Rhinolophus ferrumequinum: one gene and its partners. The protein of the gene in region 1 interacts with the protein of each later gene in a biochemical or structural test. Links are inferred from orthologs where the notes say so. Each region holds a gene or a part of one and is shown in the gene's direction. Other genes may lie near its edges.

Region 1 (7,804 bases):
ATCTGTCTACTCTGTCATCTAGGTAGATCTCCATAAAACATTTTTTTAATCATTTCTGTATTCACTGGCACATGGGTGGTTTTCAGTTTTGGACTGTTAGGAATAGTCGTGATATGTAAATATATGATATGTGTCAATGACACACCTACACATTTGTGTTGGTGATCATGTGATACTAGCATTGTTAGGCTTCAGCTCTATGAAATAGTGTCAAAGGAGTTTGGAAAACATCTGTGCCAATTACGACATGCACCAGCAGTGTTGGAGATTCTTAATTAGGCCACATCCTTGTCAATACTATTAATTTTATTTTAATTTTTAGGCTTCTGGTTGTGTTTGATAGTACCAAGTACTGGTTTTATTTAGATTTCCATGATTATTATGAAAGTTGAGCATCTTTAAACATTTCAATTAGACACTGGAGACCATTTTTCAATGTGTGTTACTTTATTTTGTCTATTTCTCTTATTGTATTGTCTTTCTTATTGATTTGTAATAGTTTCCTATATCTGCTGATATGATTCATTCACCCACATTGTGTGTGTGTGTGTGTGTGTGTGTGTGTGTGTCTTTTCAGGAGAAGAAAGATTTCAGTTTAATATAACTTGGTATTTCCTCCTTTATACACAATACTTATAATTCTGTTTAAGAATTATTGTACTATTGTAAGACTATAGAGATGTTCTCTTCTGTTATTTAAAAAATATATAGGTTTAAAACTCAGATTGGAAATCCATTCAGAATTTATTGGTTGTATGTGTGAATAGAGAATTATTTTTTTTTCTGATAAGCTAACAAATTTCAATGGATTATTCGGAACCGACATACTTTCTCTCTTTTCATTTGTTCTCACCTCTCATGGCTTATGCAGGTTACAATCACCTCCCTCTGTAATCTGTCCTTCCTGTGAAATCTCCCAGTGAATATGTGTCCTTCCTGTCTCCTTCATTATGTAACAATGCTCAAGCACCACAAAATTGAGGTCACTGTTGGTATAAAAAATATTAACTGTATTTTTTTCAATCAATTGTTCCCAAATTTTTAGGGGAAAGGTTCACACTATTGGAAAATACTTCTTAGTGAGCATCTCAAATTCTTTCACCTCTTGTGTCAACTTCTGTTTTGGATTAGCATGGATTTTTGTATAACAGACTTGGGAGATGTAATAGTATCTGTCTTGGATAAAGGGCTGATGAATTTCCTGGCCAGTGTAATAAAGATAATGCATGTTTTTGAGGCAAACATTGGGCAGATTCACGTATAACACAGGTAAAAGATTGGGGTTTCTTAGGCTTAATGTTCTCCAGGTGCGACACAAAACTACTAAGTGTACAGCATCCACCTGGACCACTTTGCACGGCCCCAGGGGGCTTGTGGGGCAGTGAGGACACACGGGAACACGAAGCTCCTACTGCCTGTTCTGTCGTGAATAATAATGTCTTTTGTCTCAGTTCCAGGCATCTTGTGTTTTATCCAGCATCCCTGAAATTGGCAGGCTAACTCGGTGGTTTGCAAAAGGCCTAAAATCTTAACCCTCTTTACATTTCTGATAGTCTCAGTGATGAGGATGGATGGTGAGAAGCCTATGTGAATAGCCTTTGTACGTCTCCCTTTAGCAGAGGGAAGCTGACATGGTGAGGTAGCTGGGGCCTATCTCAGTGTGCTTGGGCTACTGTAACACAATTCCACAGGCTGAGTGGCTGATAAACAACAATTTCTATCTCTCACTTCTGGAGGCTAGAATCTGAGGTTGGTGGGCAGCATTTTCTGGTGAGGGCCCTCTCCTGGGTGGCAGACTTCTCCTTGTATCTTTTTTTTTCCCCTTCTTCCACCCCCCTCCCCGCCCCCCACTCCAGTTCAAGCCGTTGTTTCTCAGTCTAGTTGTGTAGGACACAGCTCCCTGGCCCATGCTGGTGTTATGAGCCTTGCACTCCCCCTGGCTGATGCAGTTGGTCACTGGTCGTCAGTCACCAGTCATCAGTCAGCCGCTCACGCTGGCTGCCGGCCACTCACACAGGCCTCCGGCAGCTCACAGCGGCCCAGCTCCAGGGAGAGCCGTTGTTCACAATCTTAGCTGTAGTGGGCGCAGCTCACTGGCCCACATGGAAATCGAACTGGTGACTTTGGCATTAGGAGCATGGCACTCCAACCACTTGAGCCACCAGGCTGGCCCTCCTTGTATCTTAACAAGGCCGAGGGGCTAAGGGAGTTCTTTTTCAAGGGCACAAATCCCATCCATGAAAGATCTGGCCAATGACCTTATCACCTCCCACAGGCTCCATTTCCTAATACCACTAGACCTTAGGGATTAGGTTTCCACATAAGAATTTTCAGGGGACACACACAGACTGTAGCAGTACCCCTAGGAGAAACTCAACATCCTCTTGTTGTGTCTACATCAGAATATAGTAGGTACTATGTGTGTTATACTTTGCTTCCTCATCCCAGTGCCAGAGGGGACTTTCCTAGTCAGGTAAGGTCAGGTGGAGAAGAGTTAGTGGATCTAACTCTAATTTTATTTGTCCCCAGAGGGTAGATGAGGTTTTAGATCAAGTCCACTCACTTGTGTTATAGAGTTTTCATTATATGAATGACTTTCTCTTAGTTAGTGTCCTCAGTCTCCATAGCCCTGTCTGCGGTGCCATCAGCTCTCTGCCAGTGAGGGTGGCTGAAGGAACCTAATTCAGTGTCCTGATTTCCGGTGACAGTTCGTTGGGATTCTGTGTGCAGATGCACCATGCGCAGTCCTTCCAGCAGTGAAGAATCAACTACTGTCACTCTGGTTCCCCAACATCTAAAGAAAGCCTAGCCCTCACAAGATTTGTAGAATATGGAAGACGGCACGGGTGTCTGTGATGGATGATTTTGTCATTTAGTGCCTCTGTCAAAAAGAGGCAGCCTCCACCTAGAAGCCCATCTTGTATGACTTGTGGACCATCCTGACAACTAACATGTACATTCATTTGAAAGTGGTAATTAGTGAGCTCTCCGTAAAACTGAAGTGTGACTCTTAGAAATCTTGCAATTCTCTTGATTTTTCATTAACAAAATTTCAACCGAGTAAATTTAAAGATCAAACTGGCATTATTCAACGGTCCATGAGTTGGGCAGCATCCCATCTAGCAAGTAGAAAGGTGCTCCAAAGTGCTACAGAAAAGCAAAGATTTTCAAAGGGAGAGAGCCGGCGGAAAAAAGGAAACTATTAGTAAAAAATGCATTGTTTCAGGCAAGGCCACCCTTCTCAGTGGAATGGAAGGTGACGAATTTTACCTCACTAGTGCTGACCAGGTAATTCCAGGTTGATTGGTCAAAGGTTACATTCCGAGAGGCTGAAGCTGCTATTAGTTATTAAGTCTTGGTTTGGTGACGTGGGGTTTAGTGCAGGTGACTCCATTTTGGCCCTGCTCTCTCCTTTTTAACAGGCTTGATATTCCAATTTTGGAATGAGTTAACTTGGACTTCACTACCCACAAGAGAAGTAGGGTCTAAAAAGTCCTGCGTGTCACGTAAAGTGAAAATTCAAAAATGAAGCAAGGCTGGCCCCAGTGACATGTATGTTTTTTTGCAAGAATAGGTGGTACCTGTCACCTTGGAGGAACATTTAATCTCCACACTGCAGCCAAAGCCACTAGTAGCAGGAACCCTAATCCTCTGCAATTCCCCTAAATGCAGGACTTGGGTTCACTGGTGGTTTAAACTGACACCTAATGGTGTCTCCTGGGGCCACCGTGGCTGTTTAGTTTCAGTGTCAGGTGTGCAGAAGTGAAATCAGATGTGGTTGTTCCCTTCACTGGTCAGATCTCAGATATCCGGACTCCTGCCAGTGGTCTAGCTGTTTAGGGTGCCACTAGGAAAACTATAGACTGGCAGATTAAAGACGACCCTCTCTGGTGGCTGTGAAGTGTTGAAACTAATTGCAGTGCTGAACTAATCGTCTGGGTTATCATTTCGACGTCCATGGTAAGGCCCTGTTCTTGAAAGTCTGGCCAGAATCAACCTCCTGATTAAGCCTGTTTCTGTGCAGAGGCTATCTGGGGGCTTGAGGGCCAAGCCTGAAGAGGCAGGGAAGGAGAGACATTGATGTAAAGATCTGACAATTGAAAAGGAAAAGCTCTCCAAGTAGGAGGTACAGTTTCGGCGAAGTCTTGTTGGAATGAAAAAGTATGATGTGCTCAGGCGGCTCTAATTTTCCAGGTCGGTGCAAATGTAACAAGGGGAGATGGGAGATGGAGGGCTCAAAAATGAGACGCGCAGGGTCTTGAAGACCAGCCTCAAGGGTTTAGTTTTTAATCCAGACATCAAGGCAAGTCGCCACCCTTTTCGGGGGCGTCGGCATAATAAGGCATAAATCAAAGACTCACACCCTCCTTCTCCAGCACAATGGCACGGATTCCGCCTTCCAGCCAACCTGGCCGGTATCTCACAAGCGAAAACCTGCAGACTGCCTCGGTCCCAAGACGTTATGCATTCCTTACGACGCACGCGCAGAAACTTTCTCCAGGACTCTCAGAAGGGCAGGCTTCACCTCGTCCAATCCTGTCCCTCATTGGCTACAAACAACTGCTCGTCTGGGCCGTTGTTAGTGGCGACGTAGGCGGGTACAATCTTGGTCGCTAAGATACCACGTACTTCCGTTACCTTCCTCCGTCGTCCTTGGCTCCGACAGGCCCTTCCACCAATGGCAAATGGGCAATAGGCGGGACTTCATTTGTTCGGACCAAAGAAACACGGGTCTGGCCGGGAGTAGGGCGGCCAATGACGGTGGGGCAACCCCTGTAGAGTGGCTCGGTCGCCCCCACGCTCGCCTTCCCTCCTCCTCTCGGACCTGCCCCTCCCTAGCCCCGAGTCAGCACCGTGCTAACCGCAGTCTGACAGGAACGGGACGCAGCCAAGATGGCGGCGGCCGACGGCGACGATTCCCTTTACCCCATCGCGGTGCTCATAGACGAGCTCCGCAACGAGGATGTTCAGGTTCGGAGGCCACGGGGGACTTGGGGAAACGGGAAGGGGGACCTGGGGGCACGAGCGGCCCTCGCGGAGTAAAGTCGCAGTTCGCTGGGAGTGGCGGAAGAGGGCGGCAGCCAATCAGCGTCCACCTCTCATCTCCCTGGGTCCCCAGACTCGGTGATACGGCGCCCGGGATTGGGTGTCGGCCCTCCAGAGGGCGGGAGCGAGGCCGAGGATCCCGGGCCTGCAAAGTGCGCGCGGCGGCCCAGGGTCTGGGAGGCCGCGGTCCGCGAGGGGGCCGGCGGGCTGGGTTAGGGAGACCGGGGATTCGGTGATTGGCGGTGACCCCTGAAGGGCCCCTTTGGGATGGGGAGGGCGCGTGAGTAGCTCCGAGTGGGGGAGGGGCCACCTGGTTTATTGGGACCCAGGTAGGATTCTTCCTTTTTGGGTTTCGGCGGCTGGGCCTCAGCGCTGTGGGGTAAACCCCAGATGGGGACTGAGAGGCGAAGGTTTCCTTTCCAATTCCTGCCCGCCGTCCCCCTCCAAATTTGGTGTAGCCCCGACAAAGGGGATCGAGGGCGAAAACACCCCACCCCAAGAGGGAATTCGTTAAATTTAGGAGTGAATTAAGAGGTGGAAACCCGCCCCGCTTCTGGGATCCTCTCATTGTCTGGGGGGTGGGCAGTTTACTAGACGGGCTGACACATTTCTGGTGAGTGGGATGGGGAGGCCCAGGGCCCTGAGCCCGGCTGGCAAGGGATTGAGAAGAGTTAGGACTCTGCGGTTTGCCCACCCCAGCTCCACTTCCCACCCGCCGCGTAACCTTGTGCAAATTACTTCACTGCTCTGGGCCTCTGTTTTCCATAAAATGTGGGCTAATAATAGTTCCGGCCTCTCTGCTGGGTGTTGGAGGAACTGAACGAGTTAATAATACAAGTAAAAGAGAACCATGTCTAGCGTGTTGTAATAGCCCAATAAATCTTAGCTGTAATTTTTGGGAGTGGTGACTGGAGAGGTCCCATCTCCCTTTGGGCCTCAATTTCCTTCTTTATAAAATTGAGCCGGTTTGCCCGGGGCCCAGCCTCTGAGGGTCTGGGTATATCACTCTGGTTCTGGAATCAGACAGGCTGCGGTTGTGCAGCTGGCTCTTCCGCTTGCTGATTGACATGAGCCACTTAGTTAAGGTCACCAAGACTTGGTTTCCTTTTTGTTTTAAACGGAGGTCATTATCTAGTTCATAGGACTGTTGTACGGACTCATCTGTTCAGTGAACACCTGCCACATAGCAGGTATGGTGCTGTGGATATAATGATGACACCAGTTTTTATACTAGACAGATGTCTCCTACAAGAGACAGATGTGAGACAGGTGACTACATTAACGCGTGTTAGATGTGATGGGAAGGAAATGGCAGGATATTGTGATAATGAGTCAGTAACTATTTTTGGAGCTTCTGCTCTGTGCAGGGCCCTGCTCTAGGCACAGTTACACAGCGGAACAAGACACAAAACTCCTGGCCTTGTGGAGCTTATGCTCTAGTGAGGGGAAACATAATAAACAAGACAATGAGTAAAATGTGTTGTATGTTCCATGAGGATAAGTGCTAAAGAGAAAAATGAAGAGGGGTGGGGGGTGCAATTGTAAAGAGTGGTCCAGGAAGGCCTTGCTGAGAGGTGATGTTTGAGCAAAGATCTGAAGGCCACAAGGGAAGAAGCCAGGAGGCTGTCTGGGCAGAGTACACAGCAGGCAGGAAGTGGGGTGGGAAAGATCGTTTTAAGTAGGCCAATCAGAGAGGGCTCCCTCTGAGGACACAGAGTTTAAGGTGAGACCAGAAGAAGGAGCCAGCTCCAGGAAGGTGGTGAAGAGCCCTCCAGGAAGAGAGAGCAGACAGGTAATGGCAGTTCTCAACCCATGGTGATTTTGCCCATCAGGAGACATTTGGTAATGTCTGGAGATGTTTTTGCTTGTCCCAACTGGGGAAATGTTACTGGCATCTAGTGGATAGAAGCTAGGAAAGCTGTTAAACCTCCTGCAATGCCCAGAACAGCCCACATAACAAAGATTTGTCTGCTCAAAATGTCCGTGAGATTGAGAGAAACCCTTGTGGGGAACTCTTGAGGCAAATTTAGTGGCTTAAAAGAATACTGATTTATTATCTTACAGTTCTGAGAGTCAGAAGTCTGACATGGGACTCAATGGGCTAAAATTAAGGTGTCTGCAGGGCTACCTATGTTCCTTTCTGGAGGCTCCAGGGGAGAACCTGCTTCCCTGCTTTTCCCAGCTTCCAGAGGCTACCAGTATTTCTTGGCTTGTGGCCTCTTCCTCCGTCCTCAAAGGAAAGTCTAGGCCTAGAGGTGACATAAGAAGCAGTGCGGTGAGTGGAGGCAAACCAGGGTTTCGAATCCTGGCCTGACCACTTTAAGAGTTACTCAACCCTCTGGGCCTTGATTTTCTTGTTAAATAAAAATAAGGATGGAAGACAAACCTGTCCAGGTTGTTGTGAGGACTAAGTGAGATATAAATTACGTAAAGACACACAGTTACTAGCCACTGCCTAAGACCTTGCAACTTCATGCCCCTGTCTACATCTTAGAAACATGATGTCACAGTCTCCAACTCCTTTTCATAAAGTAGTTGGGGACTTGCTGAAGCAAAACTTAGAAATAAGGTTGCTCTCTGAGAATTTAACCAAAAAAAAGTTGATAGGATGGTGGTGAAGAACATGGGTTCAAGTTCTAGGCTCTGTCACGAATTCACTAGGTGGCCTTCATTCCCTTCTCTGCTTTTGTTTCCCCATCTGTAAATGAACGCAAAGGTGGTATCTGCCTCGTGAGTTTGTTACAAGAATACAATAGAG
Region 2 (7,285 bases), on another chromosome or scaffold:
TGCAAGAAGGAACTGGCCCCCAGAGAAATAGAGACATGATTTTGGAGAGGTTGCCCCTTACGCCCAAGGGCGGGGGAGCACTTTCCTGGGGCCATCACCTAAGGCGGCTGCCCTTACACGAGCAGCATTGAGGCTTTGCTAAATACCGCGGGACCACTACTCAGCTCAGCTTCACAACCCCCTTAATTAGATGCTAGAATTATCACACCGCATGGGTGGGGCACTTTAGGTAAGGTGACTGCAGGCAGCAAGTCGCTGAACCAAGGTTCGAATTCTGCAGTCCCCAGAATTGCCAGGGTACTGACCAGCAGCCCCTAAATGGAAGGTGAGCAGGGGAGGAGGAGCCCCAGCCAGGAGCGGGGGTGGAAAGGAGGCCTTAAGTAGGGGTTGGGGAGGTGCTGGAGGAGGGGCTGGGTCACAAAGGATGGGACCCCAGTCGGCCAGGTATCCGTGGGCAGAGGGAACAGGGAGCCCTCCAGCCATTTTCCTTGATGCCCCAGAGGAGGGCGAGCCCTCCGTGAGAACAGAGTCCTGTTCAGCGCTGTGGGCGGGTAGGATGGGGTGGGGGGCTGAGGAGCCCCCAGAGGCCCTGGGGCCACTGCAGTTAGATCTGCTGTCTGTGGGAAGGAGAGGCACATTCTTCCACTAAAAAATTATTCCTTGTTTGTCTGATATTCAAATTTGACTGGACATCCTGCATTTTTATTTCCTAAATCCAGCAACTGCCGCTCGGAACCCTGGACTCTCACTGTACTTGGCCACTGAGACTGCCCTGGCTCCCAAGGCCCATCCATCTGGGGACCCTTGAGGAGGGCCACGCCCCTGCCTCCAGGCCCTCCCCCTGCAGAGGGAACTGAATTCAAATGAGGTCCCTGGGAGCCCAGAGGGTATTGCCCCCCCCTCCATCTGGCGGCTTCAGAGCCCCGCCCTGCCCCCTCCCAACCTTGATAACGACGCTTGATCTCCTTGAACCTTAATATCCTCATCTGCAAAATGAGAAGAATGACTGCAGGGCCTGGCACAGGGAGACCCCAGGCCATTCACTGGCCACTCAGGCCCCTCCCCAGAGAGCCCTCCTCCGGCCGTCCCCATTGCTGTCTGTTCCAGCGGGGCACCCCCAGTGGTCCATCATCACCACCCAGCTAAGCCCCCCCAAGGCCTCGTTTCTCTCTCACAGCCTTCTCCTGCTTCACAGCCCTGCCCGTGTGATGTGACCATACTGTGACACGGGTCCCGCCACCAGTGGGGTTTCAGTAAGTGTCTGAAGGGAGTGCATGGCTCCTGTGAGGACACCCACAAGAGTGCCACTGCTGCCCTGAGTGCCACAGCAGTCGATTCCGACTGCTGCCCGTTGCCCAGCTGTGCCCCCAGGCTTGGCCCCTGAGCCCGCGAAGGCAGGGCTCTGGGTGGCGTGAGGCCCTGGGGTGGGCAGCGTGCCCTGCTTGCCCTGCCTGGCTGGTGGGACAAAGCACTCCTTGGACACCTGACACAAGTTGTGGGGCACAGACAGGGACCAAAGCAGGCGAGGACACTGCGGGCGAGAGCCTGGGGCTGGGCCTGGGAGGCCAGCAAGTTAAGGATGGGCCAGGGAGGAGAAACATCCCTGGGGCAGGGGACCGTGGGAGAGAGGCCCTCTGTGCCTCTCCAGTTACAAGGTCTGAGTTAAGCCCTCCTGCCCTGCCGCACCCCGAGAAGGGACTGTCCTAGGCAGCCCCAAAATGGCACTCTGGAGCTGGCCACCACATGGCCCTTGGGTCCCCTATCTGGCCCAGCAAGGTCTCAGGCACAGGGATGACAGGAGGTGTCGCAGTGGTGCAGGCAGAGCCTCCCTGGATGCAGTCAGCCAGGCGGCCATCTGGCTTGGGAGCTGCCTTGAGGCCCCGCCCTGCAGCTGCTGCCCAGACTAGGCAGCCGGGGGCACTGGCCCAGGAGTCCTGCCCGATGGCCGGCAGCTGCAGAAGGTGACAGGGCTGGAGGCCCCTGTACTCAGGGAGGGATCAGGCAGCTGCCCTCCCTGGGGCCGGTGCAGCAGTTTTTGTTGGAAACATCTGGCCAAGGGGCTCCCCAGCGGTTCCAGCAGTGGCCAGGGCTGGCCAACAGGGCTCGTGCTCTCCTTGCCATTCTGTTTGGGGGGTGGGAGAGGAGTGTTCTTGGGGAGAGGAGCTCCCTCCAGGAGCTTTCCCTCCTGGAGTCCAGTGGAGGAGGGGGCTGGTCCTGCCCACAGGGATACGCCAGTCACAGGGCAGGCTCACACAGAGGCCAAGACAGGACTGGGTGCTGCACAGACAGGGTGGGTGCAGGGCTCGCAGAGGGTCCCGGGTACCCACTGTGCGCCAGAGCTCCGGACGGAGCATGTGGAGAGGCCCCTGGAGACGGGGGCTTTGGACCACCTCAGCGCAGCCTCCTGTTCAAGATGCGGATCAGCAGGCCGGAGAGGAGCCTGGGGAGTCGCCACGTCTTCCATGAGAAGGCACCTTCCTGGTCCCCCAGTCGCCACTCGCTGACACCTCACCATTCTCCTCCCATCTTCTGCCTTCTCCAAAGCATTGCTGAATCCAGGATGGGGTGTGGGTATGGAAACCCCACCTGGGAGAGCAGTATGTCGGTGGGACAGTCCCAGAGGAGGCCCCAGGCACCCATGGGAGGATTTGTGGGGTGAGCGATGGAGAGATGTCAGACATCTGGGGGTACCCTTAGGTCAGGGATCTGGCCCAAGCAGCACAGACGGGCTGGGTCTGTCACTTGGCCCCTGGAGGCAGGGCCCTGCCTGGGGGTACACAGTAAAAACTGAGACAACTGTGCTGGGGTGGGGACACAAGGGCCAAAGGGAGATGTATGGAACTGGGGCCCCTTTCTAAGGAGCGGGTGTCCCCTGAGCAGGGGAGAGAGTCCTTCCCTGAGAAGCATCCTTCTCTCAGTCAGCCTGAGAGGCTGGGACAGAGCCCCAGTTTCCGCTGTAGACGCTGTCCTGGGGGTTCAGCCGGGCTGCACCTGCTTCTGACCCAGATAAAGTGTCTATACACTCAGGCTGAACTCTGACCCTGGATGAAGAACAAAAATGTCCCCCCCCCCAAAAAAAAAGCAAAAACAAACATACCACCCCAGGAAGATAGCTCACAGTGGTCTTCATTTCACAGAAGGATTACTATCAACTTGGAGGCCTCAGGGCTGGGGGGAGGGGCAACTGTAGGAACCTGAGGCTCCCGTGGAGGGCCAGGGCCAGGGAGGGCTCCAGGGTGGAGCACAGTCTGCAGTGTCCTGGGAATCTGTAGGAGGAGGGTGCTAGACTCCCTCTGCCTCTGGTCCCTTAGCTGCCCCCCAGTGGACTGTGGGTGCCCAGGGCCCACTGAGACAACAGGGAGGGGCTTGGGCGGCCTCTGCTGTCAAGACCCTTCTCTTGAGCCTGCACCCAAACCTGCTCCCGCTTTGGGTATGTGCTCCCAGCTCAGAGAGGGCAGTCCAGGCCAGGTGGATGCCCCTCCACTGGTTCCTGTGCCCTCTTTTCCCTCTGTCACCGTGGGAAGAAGTCCCCATCCACTTTGTAGCCGCCACGTGTCAGCATCTTCCTTCTGGGGGAGGGGAAGTTTCTGGAAGCCCCCTGCCAAGGAGGGAGGGCTCAGAACCCCTGTCTCTCCAGGGCCTGGCTTGCCCTCATCAGTCCCCACGTCCCCGATGGCCCAGCCTTCCAGGCCCACCTCCAACCTGCCCTCCCCAGCCTCCTGAACCGGTGGGGCAGGGACCTCTGATTGGGTCTTTCAGGACAATCTTGGCGCCTCTCTCCCTGGACCCAGTAGGGTGCTACCCACTTGGGTCACAGCACATTCTGATATCAAACTAACCTACATCCCATCCCACCCCCATCCCATGGAGACAGAAGCCCTCATTCGTCCCCGTCGCCGCACAGAGAGGCCGAGAAGTGCGGTTCACCGGACAAACCGGGAAACTGAGGCCAGAGAGGGCGTGCCCGGGGACTGGCAGAGCAGTGGGCGCTGGGCGGGCGGGCCCAGCCCCGGCCCCCGCCCTCTGAGCCCGGGTGGGGGCGCAGGGCCGCGGAGGCGGATGTGGGCGGGCGGCCGGGCGGGGCGCGCGGGGCGGGGACGGGGCGGGCCGGCGGCGGCGGCGGGACGGAGCGGCGGCGGCCGGCCCAGCGCGCGCGCAGCAGGCACCGGAGGACGCGATACGCGGCCGCGCACGAGCACCGGGCCCGCGGCGCGAGGCCCGCCGGACAGCGCCCGCCGCCGGCCCGCGCCGCCCCAGCCCGCCCCCGGCCCGGCCCGCGGGGATGCGGAGCGGCGGGCGCCGGAGGCCGCGGCCCGGCTAGGCCCGCGCTCGCCCGGACGCGGCGCCCGGTGAGTCCCGCCCGCCGCCGCCGGGGCCCGGATTTCCTCCCCGCTCCGCCGCTTTGTTCCCGGCCGGCCGGGCCGGGGCGCGGGCGGCGCGGCCGGAATGGAGGCGCGGGAGCAGGAAGTGGCCGAGCGCGGCCTGGGCGGGGAGGGCGCGGGCTACGGGTGCGGGCCGCCGGTCCCGGCCTCCCTCATGACCTTGGAGAAGTGGCCCGCCGGCCGGCGAGGCCCAGGCTGGGGCGGAGGGGCGCGGCCGGGCCCGGACGGGGGCATCTCTGCGTCGGGGGCTCCCCGGGCGCTCCCTGGGCGCCTGGCCAGCGCTGCCCGGAGCACAGGAGGCTAAGGGGCCTTAGGAGAAGGCTCGCCCCAGCCCTCCTTCCAGTTTGTGGGTGGGCTCTTGGAAGGAGACCTCATCTTCCCATAGACAAAAAGTTGTCCCTGGTGGCGAGGGGCCCAGGCCAGTCCACAAAGGACTCCTATCCCTCGTGGGCCCTGAAACTGCTTCCTGACCTGAGTGGGCTGTGGAGGTGCTGCCCACCCATCCTAGAGGCTGGGGTCTGGAGGGCAGCTAGGGCTTGGTCCCCAGATTGGAGGGTGGGGGCAGATGGTGAGCTCAGTGGGTGGGACTGGTTTCAGAGTACTGCCCTGGTGGACAGAGTGGGGGCATGGGCCTGTGATCTCCGGCCACAGGGCCTCCTCCTTCACTCCTGGGCCCCTGGCCTGCCTCCAGGCCACCCCTGACTGCTCTGAGCCCCTGGTGGGAGTGAAGGCCCTGCAGCTTGGTTCCCTGCCCCCCCCCACCCAGCTGAAACATACAGTTTACAAACCAATGTTGGGAGGCAGAAGGAGGGTTTCCTTTCGGAGCACAGACTACTTTTTAAGAAGTTGTGGCTTTGGTAATGACAACAGTCGCGTAGTGTCTGGTGAAGGCACTCAGTACCGGGCAGCAGGACACAGGTCCCCTTGGTCCTGCCAGTCCTGTGCAGAGAGGCAGCCCGGGTGTTGGGCTGTGTGTGTGTGTGTGTGTGTGTGTGTGTGTGTACAGATGTATTTTTACACATGGGCTGTCGACAGCTGTCTGACTCTATCAGCAGCAGGCCCTTCTCAGGCCTGGGTGGGGGTAGGGTAGGGGGACATCCAGAGGCCTCGGAGTCCAGCCCTCTGTCTCCAGGCCACGCCCACTCCGTGTCACCAGAGCCCCCGGTGCCCACTGTGCTGGGGCTCAGAGCCCAATCCTGACACCCTCATATCTTCCCGCTGCTGCCCATGGGCCTGCTGAGCACTTCGGCACTTGCTTTCTTAGGCAAAGTGTGTCATCCCTGTCCTGGCATCACACACAGGCAGTGAGTGGGGTCTAACCACCCTCCTAAATTTAGCCTCAGACCATCAATGCACAGCAACCTTCTCTGGGTGCCCAGCCCCTGCCTCAAGAGGCCGGTGAGGTGATCTGTGGGAGACCATCTTCGTGGCTGTGGGAAGACCCATATTGGGATCCATTCCAGTGGTTCTCAGGGCTCCCTGCCTGGCCCGGGTGTCCCAGACTGGAGTCTCTTAGGGCCTGCCCTCCGATTGCCCATCTGGAGGGTAGCAGAATACTGGGATGCCCAGAACGGGTGATGTGAGCACTGGGTTTTGAGGGATGTGTAGGAGTTTATCCAGCAGGGGAGCCATGGGGAGGGTCATGCAAGATGAATGGCCAAAGTGTCTACTTAAGAGAGGGCCACTGGTGGGCCATTGCGGGCGGGTGCCAGGACCGCTGTGTGTGTACAGCGCCCCCCATTGTTTGCCTCTTGGATGCTCTAATTACAGACCTGTAACCACCCTGGACTGGGTACTCCTTATAGACGGGCCCGTCTGAACCCCTTTGTCACCAGTGCCCAGTGCTGAGCCTGGCAAACCAGAGGTGACTGATCTACACTGGCCAAATGAATGAACCAGATTCAGGCCCGCAGGGGCACCGTGGTTTAGGAGGGGCCGGGGGAGGGGTTCAGGTCACCCTGGCGGGCTCTGCCCATTTACGCCAGCCGCCCTTACTTCTGGTGCTGCCTTCTTCCTGTTTGAATGTCTCTCCCAGTCTGGGGCAGGGAGGAGGAGCCTATGGGTGGGAAGACTGGATGGAGAACAGGGCGCCCTCACCAGGAGCCTGGGGAGGTTGAGTGGTGTGCCCTGAAGCAGTCGGGCTGCCTGCAGGGGGTTGCCTGCCGGGCTGGCTGGTTAGGGAGGCTGGGGTACACTGGGAGGGCCTTTTGGGGATGGAGTGATTTGTACAAAAGCCAGGGGGAGTGGGAATGGGCTAGGTGAGAGGGACAGGGAGCTCTGAGGGCCTTTTATTAGGTGCCGTGGTGGGAAGAAAGTGAGGGGTGGCAGTGACTCAGGGCTGAGGGGAGCAGGCCACACGGGAAGGTGCACCCGGGCTGAGGCCCCAGGTGGGACGACCCTCCTGGGCTCATCACCAGGTCGGAGGAGTGGCCCCTAAGCTAGACACAGCCTCACACTTCCCTTTGCTTCTTCCAGAGGCTGTGGGTGCTGGCTGGGCTCCGGGAGACCCTACTGCGAGAGGAGCGTGAGTGACGCCTGGGCCGCCTCGGCCCGCAGCAGCGCACAGCATGACCGACGTGGCCATCGTGAAAGAGGGCTGGCTGCACAAAAGAGGTCAGTGCCCCTGGGGGCGGGGCCTGGAGCCGGGGCGGCCTGAGCTGGCCCACAGGCTTCCTTCAGGTGGCAGGTGCTTTGGTGGCCTGCTGGATGGGAGGGGCCTCCCTTGGGCTCCCAGACCTGCCCAGGTGAGCCTCCAGGGCCCAGTGTCTCCCACGGTGTGCAGGGCATGGCCTTGTGTGTCCCCTGGGTGGGGACATGAGGCCCGAGGCCTGTAGCCTGTCTGGCTGGCGGTGGAGTGACCGCCTGGCTGGGCCTGGTTGGCAGGGAGAGCTGCTGCTGCCTCC
Region 3 (7,924 bases), on another chromosome or scaffold:
ATGATTACATCTTTGGCTGGACCCCTACTTTTCAGTGAATAAATATATAATAAGAGCTAATAAAACTAAAATGTAGACCTAGGAGTAGAGAATGATTTAAGACCCAAAAAGCTCAAAAAGAAAAATAAAATGGATTTGACAAAGTTTCATTCAAAGAACTCCACAGGGAAATGACAGACTGAGAGAAGTTATATGCCACAAATAAAACTGGGATTAACACTTCACATTTCCTCAAAAATAAGACCTCGCTGGACAATCAGCTCTAATGCGTTTTTTGGAAAAAAATTAATATAAGACCCGGTATTATTTTACTATAAGACTGGGTCTTATATAATATAATATATAATATAATATATAATACTGCATCTTATATTAATTTTTGCTCCAAAAGATACATTAGAGCTGATTGTCTGCCTAGGTCTTATTTTTGGGGAAACACGGTATAGAACATACTCCTGGAAATCAACAAACAAGAATATTGAGCATCCTGTGATTTGAATAGTCAAATCACAGAAAAGGAAGCCCAAATGGTCAACAAATGTATAATGAGATGTTCAAACTTGTAAAGGGGAAATGCAAATTATGAGATACCACTTTACACTCATCAGAACAGCAAAAAAATCAGGTGGATAATATCATTAGAGAAATAAATATAGTAGATGCGTACAGTGAAATACTATATATCAGAGTGTTAAAGAAAAAAACCACAGGCCCAAAATGGTGTCACTCATGCTAAAACCTCATGATACCAAACTTAGATTTAATACCTGATCTAATTGCAGTTTTGACCTCTTCCAGAAATGCAATCTTAATCAACTAGTCTGGAATTTTATGGTCTAGCATCAGTAAGATAATCTGTCACTGTGGAGCCTCTCCATCCTTTCTGAAGAGGTGGGGAAATATGTACAAAACAATCAATGACTGCTTATCAAAGATTTACAAGAGCCTCACGACCAAATTCAGATCAGCACGGGTCAGTGGATCTACTGGGAACAGAGATTTAGAGATTTCAAGCTCTTCCTTGGATCCCTGTTGGTGCATACTTGTCTACAGTCCTCACCCACCTCTTGCCCCACCCTCCTCCCCTTGAATTTGGGATGCTTTTAAGATAGATTTGCAAAAGTGTTAAGGTCCCCATATTTTCTAGCTAATGCCTTCTCGATCAATAAACTTTTCCTTATTCCAAACCCTGACGTTTATGACTATTGGACTGTGAAGTGTCGGGCGCACAAAACTTGAATCGGTAACAGAACTACTTAGAAGCCAAACACTAAACATCGTAATGATCACCATTTAGTGAAAAGTTAGAACCAATGAAATGTATAGCACAATACCAATATATATGCACATGAAACACAATACTATATATTTTACATGGATAATTTAGGATATATGCCCAATACATTGGAGGATGCTTTTCCAGAGAGATGAGATAGTATATTAAGGATGAAGGGGGAAAACAAGGATTTTTGCACAGACATCTTGATAATGTGCCTTTGAATAAGAGGATTGATTATACCAGTGTGTCTGAGATCCAAAAAAGGGGGGAGTTAATTTGCATACCAAACTATGAAAGGATATAAATTATATCCATGCATTTTAAAAATTATCATGTAACTATCGCAACTTAAAATTTAACTTTATAAAAAGTGTTACGATGACAATAAGCTAGATATAGTGCTAACCAAGACTCTAAATGTCTTAAGCTCAATTGTCAAAAGATGTATTAAGTTGCATCCCTGCTACAGACCTAGGGGACTATTCACAAGTAAGCCAGGCAGAGTAATATGGTTTTGGAGAAAAAGGAAAAAAAAAAAACAAGCTAGAAATGAAATTAAAAATACACTGAGATATCATTTCTCACCTATCAGATGGGCACAATTTTAAAAGCTGACCATGTACCATGTTGGAGAAGTTGTGGGGAAACAGACACTCTCATACATTGCTTGTGGGAATGTTAAGTTGTACAATGTCTATTGAAACCATATACGCTTTTACTCTCTGACCCAGTAACCCTACTTCCAGGAATTTATCCTGATAATAAATCTTCAATAATATAAAAATATAAATGTATTATTTGTAATTGCAAAGTCCTGGTAATTACCTAAGGGCCCACTTAGCTATAACTGAGTAAACTACGTTACGTACACCAGTGGAGGACTATGTAGTTGTAAACAGATGAGGACAATTCCTATGAACCAATGAGTGTTTTCTGTGAAATATTTCACTGAGAAAAGCAGAGTACAAAAGAAGACCTAGAATATGTTACCTTTTACATGAGAAAGAAGGGGAAATATATATGCATGTTTTTGCATAAAATAACTCAGGAATAAAACAAAACAATGAAGCTGGTTACCTACAAAGAGTAGAGAACAGGGAGAAAGGAATAAGTGAAAGAATGACATTTTCCTGCATTCACCTTTTTGGATAAATTTTACTGTTGGAAGCTTGGATAATGTTCTACATACCAAGAAAATTAAATTAATAAGGATGGGAGTAACAAACTATATGCAAGCAGAAACAAATTTAACTCTTAAATGAATACTATCACCGCACACTGAAATGAAGGGAAGAGAGAAACCAAATTAAAGTAACTTGAACACAGCTATGAACCCTCATTTTCAGGGGATTTGATTAAATATAAGATGTCATTAATTGTAAGATGAGACTCAATTTCAGAGATGTTAAACTGAAGGGGAAAAAAATGGTATCTTAGAATCCATGGACTATGGTATAATATGGGAAAGTGAAAATTAGAATTAAATCAATAATCTAGATAACTCAAGAATATTAGAGTAAGCACCAAATGTTTCTTTAGGGTGTCAGGGTAAGGGCTTTTCTGAGGTTTATGATAATATATGAAAGTACATGTATATTAGGGGAATGACAATTATTGCTTAATTGGCACAGAGTTTAGGATTATGAAAAAGTTCTGGAAAGCATAGTTATGAGAGTTGTTCAACATTGTGAATGTCTCTGATGCCTTGAATTGCATGTTTGAAAGTGGATAAAATAGTAAATTTTATGTTTTACCACAATAAGAAAAATCACCAAAAAAAGTATTGCACGATTTTAGTAGAAAATTACAGTAAATTATATATTCCTCTTATATATGTATATAAAATACATAACATAGTCATGGAATCTGGGGGCCGAGCCTTTTTAAACAGCATTAAACAAAATTATTGACAGGACTGATGACAATATAGCAGAGAGGTTCAAGAGCATAGGCTCTGGCTACCTGGCTTCATTTTCCAGCTCCGTCTGAGTGACCTTGGGCCAGTCACTTATCTTCTCTACCTCACTATCCTCATTTGGTTAATTGAAACAATAATAAAAGCACCTACTTCATAGGGTTGTAATAAAGGGACTAAATGAGATACTCAGAAAATACCACTCATGTTCATTCTGAGCTTTCCAGGCTTAGCTGAAATCCAGCCTCCTTTAGTTCTTTATAGACGAACCTCTTCAGAGACTGCAATTTCTCTCACAATCATACAGGTACCCTTTCTCTGCAGTAGCATTTCATCACCTTTTCATCTTTTGTCCTTAGTTGGTTTGCTACTATATACAAGGCACTTAAGAGCAGGAGCTCTTCCAGCCTTATTTCCCACTCTATGACCTATTTCTATGGATGGGCATATTTATAACTTTCCACACGTGTGTGGTCTTTCACACATTTGTCCTCTGCCACAAAACAAATTCCTTAGAACGTCTTCTACTCCAGGCAACTTCAAGGTTTTGCCTAGGGAGAAGTTTCAAAATTCAGTTCAAATCCACCTTTCTAAAGTTTTTTCTAACTGTTGCCTAGAAGGGATAAGCAACTATTAGATTGCTCAAATACTGTACTATTGGATAGGCACTTGTAAAAATTTAATCTTCACAAACTGAAAAAGTAGGCCTTACTGAGCCCTTTTAACAGATGAGGACTTGGAGGCTTGGGGAGATTTGGTGGTTGTCCAAGAAAGAACACAGCTACACAGTTGGCAAAACCAAGATTGAAACCTTTGCCTTCTGATACTGGATGTTGCCTCCCTCTTGGGTTCAGCGGCAACAAGAGGAAATATGCTCTTCCAGGGAACTGGCAGTTAGCAGTCGCTCGATAAATACTTGGCGAATGAACAAATTATTAGAACATTGCATAAACACTGCGGCAAACGCAGTGTATAATACTGGAGCTGGAAGGGACACAGATAAATATAATACACAACGATCATCTCATCTTTCTGATGCTGAAAGGGTAGATTCGAGATGTTAGGGCCCCACACCTAGTTAATGGCAGAGACAAGGCTAGAAAGCATTCACTTACTCAATAAATATTGAATGCCTGTTGGGAGAGTGCTAGACTCTGGGGAGACAGTGTTGTTGAGGAAAGGCACAAGCTTCCCCAATCCCTTTGCAGAGCGCTGAAAAAGCACTGCAGGAGACCAAGGTGGGGACAAGGTTCCCAGAGAAAACGATGTGAAGAAAGAACCAGGCGAGCTGGGTCTGCACCCGAAGTGAGGAAGAACAAAGAAAAGAAGAGGGAGAAAGCGGTGGAATCTTTGGCTCTTTCGGACCGTTTCTCCGCCGAGCCACGCGGGGGCGCAGCAGCCTTCCTCGGGTCCTTTGCCTGCTCGCCTTTCTCTCGGCGGAAATGCCCAGGCGATGACGGAAACCCGGAGGGAGGGGACAGAGAGAGCGAGGGGACAGAAAGGGCCAGAGAGCCGGGAGAGGCCTGCCGGGGAGAGGCGGCGGCGGGTGGCCATCGTCAGGAGGGAGCTGCACCGAAGACCCGCGCCGCGCTCCCCCACACCTCCCCGCGCCTCCCAGCGACACCCGGGGCGCGCGGCCGGGCGGGCAAGAGCGGCCGGGGGTCTCCTGGAGGCCGCGCTCCCGGAGCCGCCCGCTGGGCTTGGGCGGGGCGCGGGGCCGGCGGCCGCGCTCCCCGGCTCCTTCTCCCGCTGGGAGCTGGCGGCGGCGGCGGCGGGAGAGGGGAGCGGCGCCCGGGGCGGGCGAGGGTGGGGCGGGGAGGGGGGAGGGCAGCGGCGGGGCCGGGGATCCGGCAGCCATGGACGACAAGGCATTCACCAAGGAGCTGGACCAGTGGGTCGAGCAGCTGAACGAGTGTAAACAGCTGAACGAGAACCAAGTGCGGACGCTCTGCGAAAAGGTAAGAGAGAAAAGAGAAATGCGGGAGCGGGGGGCTGATTGGAGCGGGCGGCGGCCCCTCTCCTCCCCGGGCCGTCCACTCTGTGACCCGCGGGGCCCAGCCCGTCCAAAATCCGGGGCGTTGAGCTGGCCTCTCCGGGTACCTCTGCCTCCCCGGCGGATGCTCACGTTACTGGCCTCGGGTCCTTGTAGACGGGCAGGAGAAACGTGGCACCTGGAATCCACTTTCTGTGTTTTTGGGAGTCACTGACATTCTTCTGGGGAGTTACACTCCAGTATTTCCCGTGTGGACTAGCAATCTCGGCGCTTGCTAGTCCACACGCCGGCCAGTTATTCTAATACCATCTCTTATCAGAAAATGCATCGGGAGCATCTGAGATCTTTCTTCTTGGCAATGTTGTCAGTTTGGCTCCAATAAAATCTTATAAAAATTTTTTTAAAATGCACCGAAAACCAACCTGGATGTTGCTAATGTTAACGAACTTGTTATAAATGGGAGCTTTTTTCGCAGGTGAATGGGCCTTTCAAAAATCGCTAATTTGGAATGTGTCAAGCATTTGTAGAGAGGTGGGTGTGATGGCAGACTGTGATTTCTAAAATAGAGGTTGACTTTGACTTTAGTTGTAACAGATGGTGACTGGTCTTCCCATAGAGAGACTCTTGGAAGCAAAATGTTGATTTTCAGAAAGACAGCAAATCTTAAGTTTGGAAACAGTGCTTTCTTGAAATATAAATGGGTTACGTGTTTTTCGTGTAGGGTAGCACTTTTCAGAAAATCCTTTCCGTTTCTATTATATATAAAGGGTTTTTTTTTTTCCCTGTGCCAAAGAGTAATAAAATATGCAGGTGGTTAACTGTTTACAGTCATTCTTGATTGTGTGATCTTAGACAACTTTCTGAATTTTGTATCTATTGTTTCCTTACCCGCTGGAATTATTTTGCACTCTCTATCTTAGTTACTTTAAAATCTAGAGCTTTTCTCACTCGTCTTTTATAATCTTGGACTAAATAATTTTGACACATTTTTACATAAAAATTCCTCAGTGAAGGAGTAAGGAGATTATTTCTTCTTTAATGCTGTTGGGTTGGTTTGTATTTTTAGACTTGATCATTTTGTTTGGAAGTCAGGATGCCTCAGAAACACATTGGAGAACAAAAGATTTTGTCAGTGTTGTTAATAGGGGACTCAAAATTAAGCAATTTACTTAGGGATGGAGGAGTAATAACTAATATTAAGTGAAAGTAGTGTTTTTAACAAGTGTAATGTTGTATAGGGCCTTAATATGTAAAATTTGGTAACAGAATTTATTTCTGTAGGTAGAACTGCCAAGGCAAGTGGTATTTTTCTCTTTTCTGAAACAGACTATTTGCTTATAATTTCAAGAAGATATTCGTTTTTCTTGTGTGATAACCTATAATTTCATGAGTCTTCAAATTTATGTTTTAAATCTTTCTCTCTCAATATTTCTCTCTCTAGTGTCAAGTGAAATACCCAGTTTTGAAATTAGCTGAGTCAGTTACCCTCACTGTGAACATTACATATAGTCTTGAAATTATGGACAAAGGTGGGAGTTGAATTCGTTTTCCGTTTGACTAATAATTTTAAGATGTATTCCTAGAGAATAATATTGTATCACTACTCAATCACACTTGAGTCTTAATCATGTGAGGAAATTTTCTGTATTTGTCAAGAGAGATTAGTTTTTACTTCAGCTCCTGAATAACTTGGACTACCAGTCCCTAGGATCTTGTAGGTATATTTAAGCTTAGATCTTACCCACTTTTTTCTTTGAATATTTGTACTTATGCACTAAACACGAGTTTGTAAGTGAAAATCCCCCTTTATCATTGTCCTCCACCCCTTTGATGGAGTTGCCAATGGATGGAGTCCAGTAATAGTATTTCTCTCTACTCTTCTGAGCACTGCTTAGTTTTTCAGCCCTCTTCCAGCAACTGTGGCATCCCTTTGTGGTATGTATACATATTTTACCTGCTAACCTTAATCTCTGGTTCTATTTTATATCTCTGCCCCATCCTCCTTTTTCCTGACAAGTGTAGTGTTTATGTATCAGGGACTGGAGTAGTCAGCCAGAGTTCCACAACTTGATAGCTGCTGCCTCTTTGCACCTCTTATTCCATACCTGTGAGACAGGGATAATACTTGCCCATCTCCTGGGTTGGTTGTGAATATTAAGATATTACCTGTGTAAAATCCTGGGGCACTCAATGAATGTTAAATGAAGAGAAACTAAAACTAAAAATAACCATTTAACCGACTTTGCTTTAAAGTTGTCTGTTGAAATTCGTTTGTTTTTGTTTGGTTCATCCAGTTCCCTTATATGTGGGGTCAAATACTTTATTTTAGAAATGACTAAATTAGCTTAAAATCTTAAAGAGCTTTTAACAAATTATGTTCTTATATCTGTGTCTGATTCTGGCTCTTGCATAAGTGACAGTGTGTTGAACGTGCTGTGGGAGATGCTGGGAAATTATATAACGTATGTACACATTGTTGTATTATACATTAGATTTGGTATAAAAGAAAGGACCTAAGAAATGCAAAAAAAAAAAAAATAGCTCTTGTATCTTGTTTTAAATCTGTCACCCCATTTTCTTTTAGAAAAAGATGCAGAATAAATAGATGGGTTGTTAAGACTCTCTCTGGTGAATGTACTTCAAAAGAGGTTTTCTGTATAGTGGCTAGGGAATCCTGAAAAATAGTTTCAGTATTTCTTGTGATCCCTGTTATCTGAAGCACAGAGTACTGGGATTA

Evidence for each region.
Region 2: the proteins of PPP2R1A (region 1) and AKT1 form a complex in vitro, tested with the Homo sapiens proteins (2 studies listed by BioGRID and IntAct, with this or other methods). The link is inferred for Rhinolophus ferrumequinum from reciprocal best matches to the Homo sapiens genes PPP2R1A and AKT1.
Region 3: the proteins of PPP2R1A (region 1) and PPP2CB form a complex in vitro, tested with the Homo sapiens proteins (2 studies listed by BioGRID and IntAct). The link is inferred for Rhinolophus ferrumequinum from reciprocal best matches to the Homo sapiens genes PPP2R1A and PPP2CB.

Annotation. Positions count from the first base shown.
Region 1 is NC_046298.1:46,563,599-46,571,402, forward strand, and holds the start of PPP2R1A (serine/threonine-protein phosphatase 2A 65 kDa regulatory subunit A alpha isoform), read left to right. Parts: upstream 1-4,746; 5' UTR 4,747-4,893; coding exon 4,894-4,971; intron 4,972-7,804. UniProt on the Homo sapiens protein: The PR65 subunit of protein phosphatase 2A serves as a scaffolding molecule to coordinate the assembly of the catalytic subunit and a variable regulatory B subunit.
Region 2 is NC_046289.1:824,126-831,410, forward strand, and holds the start of AKT1 (RAC-alpha serine/threonine-protein kinase), read left to right. Parts: upstream 1-4,271; 5' UTR 4,272-4,349; intron 4,350-6,857; 5' UTR 6,858-6,949; coding exon 6,950-6,995; intron 6,996-7,285. UniProt on the Homo sapiens protein: AKT1 is one of 3 closely related serine/threonine-protein kinases (AKT1, AKT2 and AKT3) called the AKT kinase, and which regulate many processes including metabolism, proliferation, cell survival, growth and angiogenesis.
Region 3 is NC_046287.1:66,956,233-66,964,156, forward strand, and holds the start of PPP2CB (serine/threonine-protein phosphatase 2A catalytic subunit beta isoform), read left to right. Parts: upstream 1-4,910; 5' UTR 4,911-5,050; coding exon 5,051-5,152; intron 5,153-7,924.